Ovis aries: one gene and its partner. The protein of the gene in region 1 purifies or fractionates together with the protein of each later gene. This does not show direct contact. Links are inferred from orthologs where the notes say so. Each region holds a gene or a part of one and is shown in the gene's direction. Other genes may lie near its edges.

Region 1 (3,500 bases):
TGCTCAGTCGTGTCTGACTCTTAGCGACCCCATGGACTGCAGCCTACCAGGCTCCTCCTCCGTCCATGGGACTTTCCAGGCAAGAGTACTGGAGTGGGGTGCCATTGCCTTCTCCGATGAAAGGACATACCCAGTTTTAAAAAAATGAAAAGTATGGATAGGATGAAGTATAAAGGAGGCTAATGAAGGGAGAGATGTGAAAAGGTTAAAAAAGAGCCAAGTTAAACCAAAAAGGGGAGAAAAAGTGTGTTGTACATTTTTATATTAATACAATCAGGCAAATCTAGGTTCAAACTTTAGTTCTAAGTTAGTAACTAAGTTATTTTTCCTTCTTATCGTTTGTAAAACCCCAATAGTCAGCCCTGCCCCAAGAGGTGGTTGTTATCGAATGGGAAGATGCGCTTGTTGGGTACTTATCTGCCTTGGGTTATTCTCCTGAGTTAATTTCCTTCACACACTTCTCCTTCAGCTTCCTGCTCTTCTTAATTTTGAAAATTGTATGTACTAATGTGTTTAAACTGATAGTCAAGCTTTCATTTCATTAGAGCTTTTTTTTTAACATAAAGACATTGCAGAATTATAGGCAATCAAAACCTTTCACACACACCAGCACTTAACAGATGTGACACTATGCCTTTTACGTTTTCATTACCCCGGAATTATCTGTGTACAAATTTTATGAGCCCAGATTTTAAAAATTTTAAGTAGATACGCTTATTTTTAAAAATCATTCTGTTGATTTAAATGCTTTTAAAATCTGTTTCTCATGACTCGGTGACTTGAAGATTAGAGTTTGATAGTATTATGTACTCACCAACCACTGCCAAGTCCCCAGTTTCTTTGCATGACCAAGGCCAGGGCTAGAGCCATAGCTCCAGGCCCTCGTGTCATAACCTGCGGCCAGCCTTCTGTAATCCATGCTCACTGGCAGTACCCTCTCTGCCGATTTGCTCTTTAATAGAAGCTTGCACTGAAGGGTAGTACTGAACCTAAAGAAGTGGTGGAAATGGGGAGATTTTGATCCCCAACAAATAAGGAATCTCTTAAGGTAGACAAGCTACCTTGTCTCCTTGTTCTCCTTCTCACACTACGTCATGTAACAAGCAAGCACTTACCTCCCGACCAGAAAGGCTGAACCACTCATGAATACACATATGGTCTAAAATTGTACAAGATTTTGTTTATGGTAAATATTTTTTTTACAATAAAGATTTAAATCTGATTTCAGTCTCTGCTTCTGAGCGTTTGGCTTTCTAAGGAAAAAGATATTTTGGACAAACCGCAGTCTGTCTGCTGTCTCCATATGATGCTGTACCTCCTGAGCAAGATGAAAGGTGAGCACTGTGGATGCTGAGGTTTGGCTCCTCGGGAATGTGGTCTCCACTCCCAGAAATAATGTTCAGTGTTGAAATTCCACAAAAACGAGGAGAGAGAATACTTCCTCATAACAAAAGGAGACTAGAAGGTACAAAACATTTCACTAGAGAGAATCTTTTATGTAGTCATAGAAAACTCTTAATACATTCAAAGTGTGCTTTATGAAATTTAATTAACATTTTGCATCAACATGAGAAATGATAGTGAACAGTATGTTTTCTGAGTTCATTGAGGTGAATTGAATGGTCTGTGGTGGAGGTAATATTTTTCTTACTGTTTTTGGCATGATGAGAGCAATAATCTGTTATATTAAAACATTCAGTAGTAGTTTTCATCAGTGATGAAAGAGATTTACAATCGATTCAGAGCAAGATGCCTAAGAGCATAAATAAGTGAAATATAAGTCTTCTGAATAAAATAAAGACTTCTTTTCCAGTTCATTAAAAAATACACACACGCATCAATGGGAAACTTGGTTCTAACATTATATTTAACATCAAAGATTAAAAGAAAAAAATTGCCAAGCTAAGAGTTTCTTTTTTTGCCATTTGCCTGTAGTGGCCATCGAAGAGACCTGGGATTCCCAGTCAGTGTCCCCTTGGTGGCAGCAGATGCGCACGGTCTGTATTCAGTCCGAGAACAACGGGGCTGCGCTGCTATCCGCACACGTTGGGCATGCTGTCGCTGCCCAGATATCCAACAGCTTGACTGAGAAGAAAGTGAGTGGGCAGGGGGGCGGTTCTAGGGGGGCTCCCCTCCAGCGGGCTCCCCGACCGCTTTCCCCTTCTGGGCTGCATTGTCTTCAGTGTGTGGAACATCTAGGATTTGAGATATGTGTCCAGCAGAATCTTGTCGACGTCTCTTGAAGATGAGGGGTTCTTCTTTAGCTGTTTATTCAGATAACTTGAACCTAGTCTCCACACAGCATAAGGGGCGAAGCACTGGAGTCAGGGCAGAGACCTGGTGTTCGCAGCTGGTGGTCTGTGGTGAGTGCCTGTAGAAGGCAGGTCCTCATTCAGAAGGCTCAGGGTTAGACAGCATTGTTTCTCCGATTTCTTTCGGCTCTTAGTTTCTACAGTTGTATTTATATCCTTCTTTTAGAAACAAGAGTGGTTTTGGCACGTGGTGTTGAATGACTCAGATGAAAGCTTCCAGTAGACCTTTTACTTTGTGGCTTTTCCCCATCTCTTGAAGACTAAAATTTATTTAAGACAAGACTAGTGCCCCTTGTATCTCATGGTGAATCAAATAATTTTTTCTAGGGGGATGTTGCATTAAATTGGATAGGATACTTAAATAGGTCTGTAGAGATTCACTCAACATTGTCAGTCCCAGTAGTTTGGGGCTAAATTCATTATGACTGGTTTATGATGTTTCTAATAATAGAGAGAGAAATTTAAGATACATTTTTTATGTTGGCTAGTACATTCTGAAGAACTGTCAGTATCCGGGAACGCTGCAGGGATGGGCCTGAAACCTTTGCAGTGCATGTCAGTTGAATTATGGGCCTCACTACAGGTCTCTTCATAAATGTCTGGACTCTATCAGCATTGCTCCTAAGTCTCCAGTCTACTCCTCACCTTCATGTTCCATCCAGCCAAGTAGTAATGTTTGTGTACCAGCATCTATATATCGCTTTGTGATGTATCCTGATGATCAATCCGCTTTCACGTTAAAAGTTCATTCAAGTTAATGTTGATCCAGACTCTTAGCCAGAGTATCAATTGGGCGTTTTCTGTTAGTTTTCCCAAACAGTTTCAGGAACTGACTCGGAAGCCCTCACTGATTCCTGGGAGGCCCTTTCTCTTGATACGGAGTACTGGAAACTCCTCCTGAAACAGCTGGAGGACTGTCTCCTGCTTCAGACTCTGCTTCACAGCAAAACGAACACCCGGACCTCCAAAGTGTCTTCACTGCAGGCTGAGCCGCTCCCGAAGCTTTCTGTGAAAAAGCTGTTAGAAGGAGGAAAAGGTAACCTGAAGTTACTTGAGCATTTGTAGCCATAGATCTATATTTTTATGGTATGAGCTTTCTGGGGCCTTTTTTTTTTTAATAGAAACGACTGAAAGAATAAGGAAAGAAAAATACACTCAGATTTTAAAAGTAAATGAATAACCCACCAT
Region 2 (4,206 bases), on another chromosome or scaffold:
TCCAACAAACTTCCTGAAACAGAATTTCAAGATTCAGGCATGAGGAAAGTGATCCTGATTGTAAATTCTGAGATGCAGGAAGAAAAGATGAGCAAAGAAATTGGTAACTGTGTGGTTGAGTCCAAATCAATATTGACTGTATAAAATAACTTAGTAATGGCTCACAGGGTGAAAAAGGAAAAGATTAAACTTAAAATATAGTATAATTAAGGCATATAATTTAGAGGATGGGCTATTAAAGTACACTTAAGTCCTTTTATTTTCAGGGAGCCAAGTAAAGAGTAATCATTGAAACAGCATAGAGTATATAAGAGGAGGAAAAGTGGAATGAGAAAAAAATTAGCTCTAAAAATGCAAAAAGGAAAGGAAAAAGAAAAAAACAAATGTGACCAACGGAAGGCACAAAATAAGATGGTAGAAATATATCCATATATAATCATAAATATAATAAGTATAAATGGACCAAATGCTGTAGTTAAAAGACAAAGATTATATTTTAAAAAAACCCTTTTTAAAAAATTACAAAAAATTTCAAATTGGAAAGTGCAAAGAACAGTACAAAGAATACCTCTATGTCTGTCATGTAGAGTCAATGTTAGCTATTTGCTATTTTCATTTATATATGAAAAGGAAAATATTTAACACATATTTCAGGTAGTACACACTACATAATGAAGTAAAGTTTAAATGTCAATAATGAGATAATGAGGTAGAGTGTTCACTTTAAAACCAAACAGATATAGGTTCTCAGTAATTTTTAAAAGTGTATTTGTTTGAGTGGGTGGTTATTTATTCAAAGGCTGTCTCATCTATGGCCCCTAGTAAGAAGCAGGAACCAGGTCATTTTTTCTGATCACTGTATTTCTAAATATTTGTTGCATTTAGCAGTACAGGATTCAGCACAGTGCTTGTTACATAGTAAACATTTAAAGTAGAGTAGCTTTTATTTATTATAATCGATGCTGTTGTTATGTGAAGCGTTCAGCAGAGTGGCACAAAATAAGCAAGCAATAATTGGTAGCTTACTAAATTTATATTTATTGCTTACCACAAGTCACCGTGTCTAACACACATCATTCACTCACAAACATCATGTTTATAATAAGAATAAATCGTACTTCATTATTATTCAAAATCTCTAAGTGCCTGGCACATTAGCAAGGAGAAGTGGAAGTTCATTTTTATTAATTATTGACTAAAGCACTTAACACAAAATCTGCCTCCCATGCGCCCTGCCTAAATAAATAATCTTCAGGATGATGGTCCTCAATTCTGGGTGTCCCGGACCCGCCCCTCCCCCGGACTTGCGCGACGCCCCGCCCCCTGCCTCCCGGCAGCCCCGCCCCCACGGCCACCGCCGCGCCTGCGCACTGCTCGGCAGGGGCTCGCGCGCTCTGCTCCCCGCCGTTCCCGAGCGCGCGCCGGGTTAAGGCGGCCGGCCTGCTGCGTGTGTGCGTGCGTGCGTCGGCGCGTCCGTGCGTGCGTGCGTGTCGTACGCTCGCTGGGCACCGCGGCCTCACCCTCGCCCTCCGCCCCTGCGCCTGCACCGCGTAGGCCGTCCCCCCCCCCCCCCGCGCGCAACCCATAGGCGACCCCCGCCCGCGCCCCGGCAGGCCCCCCCTTTCCAAATTTAAAGGGGGCGCAGCATTCACGCGTCCCGCCCCAGGTGACCTCTCAGGGGTCTCCCCGCCCGAGCTGCCCCGCCGCCGAGGAACATGGCGAAGGTGGAGCAGGTCCTGAGCCTCGAGCCGCAGCACGAGCTCAAATTCCGAGGTAAGCCCGGAGGCCCGCCATCTTCGGCCGCGGGCCGGGCCCGCCGCCCCGCGCTCCCTCCCGCGCTCCGGAGGGCCCGGCGGCGCGGTGGTGACGTCGGCCCCCCGGCCGCAGCCCCCGCCCCGCCCCCGTCCGACGGCGAGTCCGCCTGCGCCCCCTCCCCGGCCCCGAGGGTCGGGTGCGGGAGTCCAGGGCCTGCTCCTCCACAGCCTCCCGCGCCTCGCCCTCCAGACACTCGCACAGTTGCCGCTGTGACCCTTCTCTCCGGTCTGCGGCCTCCGCCCAGAGTGTGGGCCCCGGCGACCGCCTGTCCCCGGAAGGCTCAGGTCCTAGGTCAGAGGTCGCCTCCCCGGGAGGCCCGCGCCGACCCGCCACCCCGCCACCCCGCCACCCCGCCCAGGACACCAGCGGCCGCCCCTGTAGCATCACTCCTGGCAGCTTGGCAACTTAGTCCTGCGTACGAGGACCACTTTACACACTTGAGTACTGTGTCTCCTCCACATTGGGAGGGAAGCTCCATGAGGACAGGACCTGGTCACGTCTCCGCTTTATCCCCCGCACACCTTAGGTCCTTGATAAGCACCTGTTGAGTAAGTGAATGATAGAAACCTCCTCAGAAGTTTCAACGGGACTGGACTCAACTTTCCTTCTTCTGCCTTTCTTGTGCCTGTGGCTCATAGCTGTGCAGCCGAGGGAAGGGGGTGGGGGAAGGGCTGTCAGATCTTCCCCCTCCCCACCCAGAAGAGCCTGGAACTGGAGTCCGAGGAAGCCCAGGGGGCCACCTATATGTTTGTGGCGAGCCCAAGCCCCTTGTAATGTGTGCCTTCATCTTTAGTTATTATTCCCTACTTTCTTCACCAAAACACAGTGCTAGGGGACAAGAAGGTCTTCATCTGATTTGACCATTCCTTCTTTCCAAATGTACTGAGTGACTGTGTGGCAGACATTTGATTGGCACTTGAGAGGGGTGAGTGGACAAGACAGACAAGACCCTTGCTTTCTTAAAGATTAGCTTCTAGTGAAGGTTGGCAAGCCTGTACTCCAGAGTATTTCAGGAGGGACTAACACAGGCTGGCATGATGCAAGCATGGTTTCCATTGGCCCAGAGTAGCTCCTCAGTAGATGTTTGGGGGCATTGCTATGCCTGCTGGCTACACACACCCCACTTTAAGGCAGGAGGTAGTGTGGGTAATTTACCCAGAGTCACCCAGTTGGCAAATGGCACATTGGGACCCAGATTCCAGAGCTCACGCTCTTTTAACAGTTATGCTTTCTTGATCCCTGGGCATTCTTCCACTGTGGTGGCTGTCATTTTGCCTCCCAGGTTAACAATCTCAGGTTGTCACATTTGGAAGTGATTCCAAATGTATAAACAGTGGAAGGTTTTCCAGTTCAAACAAACACAGACCACAAAACCGTGACGTGGATTATAATTCCATGGCAGTACTTTAAGGTCAGGCCTTCTAGAGGAGCCAGGCTGAGAGAGGAATCTGGTAACTCAAGTGAATGTGGAAGGTGATGGTTTCCACTTGAGTTGTCTGAAATTCTCTACCTTGGAAGCCTGGCTTAACTCCTCCCGGAAGTTGGCAGGTCCATTCTGTGAGTCCACAGGCATTTACCCATTGCCTGCTCCCTGTGACAGGTAACAGGAAAAGATGAATCACATCACATAGATGCCCCCATTCTCCCTCAACCCCCCACACCAGAGCTTAGGTCTTGGCAAGATAGCTAACAACAGAATCAGCCAGAACAGTGCTGTGATACAAGGCAATCCAGATTGCTCCAAGATCAACACCCAAAGAAGGTATCATTTGACCTGAGTTCAAAGGTCAGATGGAAGTGGGTGAAAGGGAGAAAGGAGTGGGGAGTGTGTCAGTTGGAGGAAGTTGCAGGTACAGAGGCACAAAGGCTGAGACTATTGGGCTCCTTTGGGATGCCATTAGTATATCTGAATGACTAGGGCACAGAGCCTTTGTTGGGGTCACGAGGCAACAGTCTGTGAGGCTGGCTGGTTGACAGGAGTCATATCTTCCAAGGCCTTTGTGAACAGATACAGCCTGTGTCCAAGTGCAGATTGTGTTGTGTCTCCTCAGCTAGTTCTCCCTGATTGACCCCACCTCTCCCTGCAGCCTTAACCCCACTCTTGTACATACACTCTCCTCAGTTCTTGTTCCAGTTCTTTTGCTTAATGATGTTTGAGCTTAGGCTGACCACTTTGCTCTCCAAAACCTAGGATTACTCTTTTCTCCATGGGAGTGGCGCTCATATCTACCTTGCTTCCTATAGAAAGTTTGGTTGAGATTATGGCTGTTCAGCTGCTTCGTAAATCTGCAGTATTGTACAGAGATTGGTTGTGTTTTACACAACTGGTTTCATCGTTTCAATTTCTTTACCTGAACGGTGTGGCTGAAGAGTGATCTCTCAGCCTAGGGT

What was found. Proteins that work in one complex are often made in the same cells at the same time.
Region 2: the proteins of RAB3GAP2 (region 1) and VAPB purify together in Homo sapiens (affinity purification with mass spectrometry; 4 studies listed by BioGRID and IntAct, counting the BioPlex papers as one, with this or other methods). This does not show direct contact. The link is inferred for Ovis aries from reciprocal best matches to the Homo sapiens genes RAB3GAP2 and VAPB.

What each region holds. Positions count from the first base shown.
Region 1 is NC_056065.1:22,885,699-22,889,198, reverse strand, and holds part of RAB3GAP2 (rab3 GTPase-activating protein non-catalytic subunit), read left to right. Parts: intron 1-1,228; coding exon 1,229-1,334; intron 1,335-1,935; coding exon 1,936-2,096; intron 2,097-3,119; coding exon 3,120-3,348; intron 3,349-3,500. UniProt on the Homo sapiens protein: Regulatory subunit of the Rab3 GTPase-activating (Rab3GAP) complex composed of RAB3GAP1 and RAB3GAP2, which has GTPase-activating protein (GAP) activity towards various Rab3 subfamily members (RAB3A, RAB3B, RAB3C and RAB3D), RAB5A and RAB43, and guanine nucleotide exchange factor (GEF) activity towards RAB18.
Region 2 is NC_056066.1:57,651,537-57,655,742, reverse strand, and holds the start of VAPB (vesicle-associated membrane protein-associated protein B/C), read left to right. Parts: upstream 1-1,406; 5' UTR 1,407-1,715; coding exon 1,716-1,773; intron 1,774-4,206. UniProt on the Homo sapiens protein: Endoplasmic reticulum (ER)-anchored protein that mediates the formation of contact sites between the ER and endosomes via interaction with FFAT motif-containing proteins such as STARD3 or WDR44.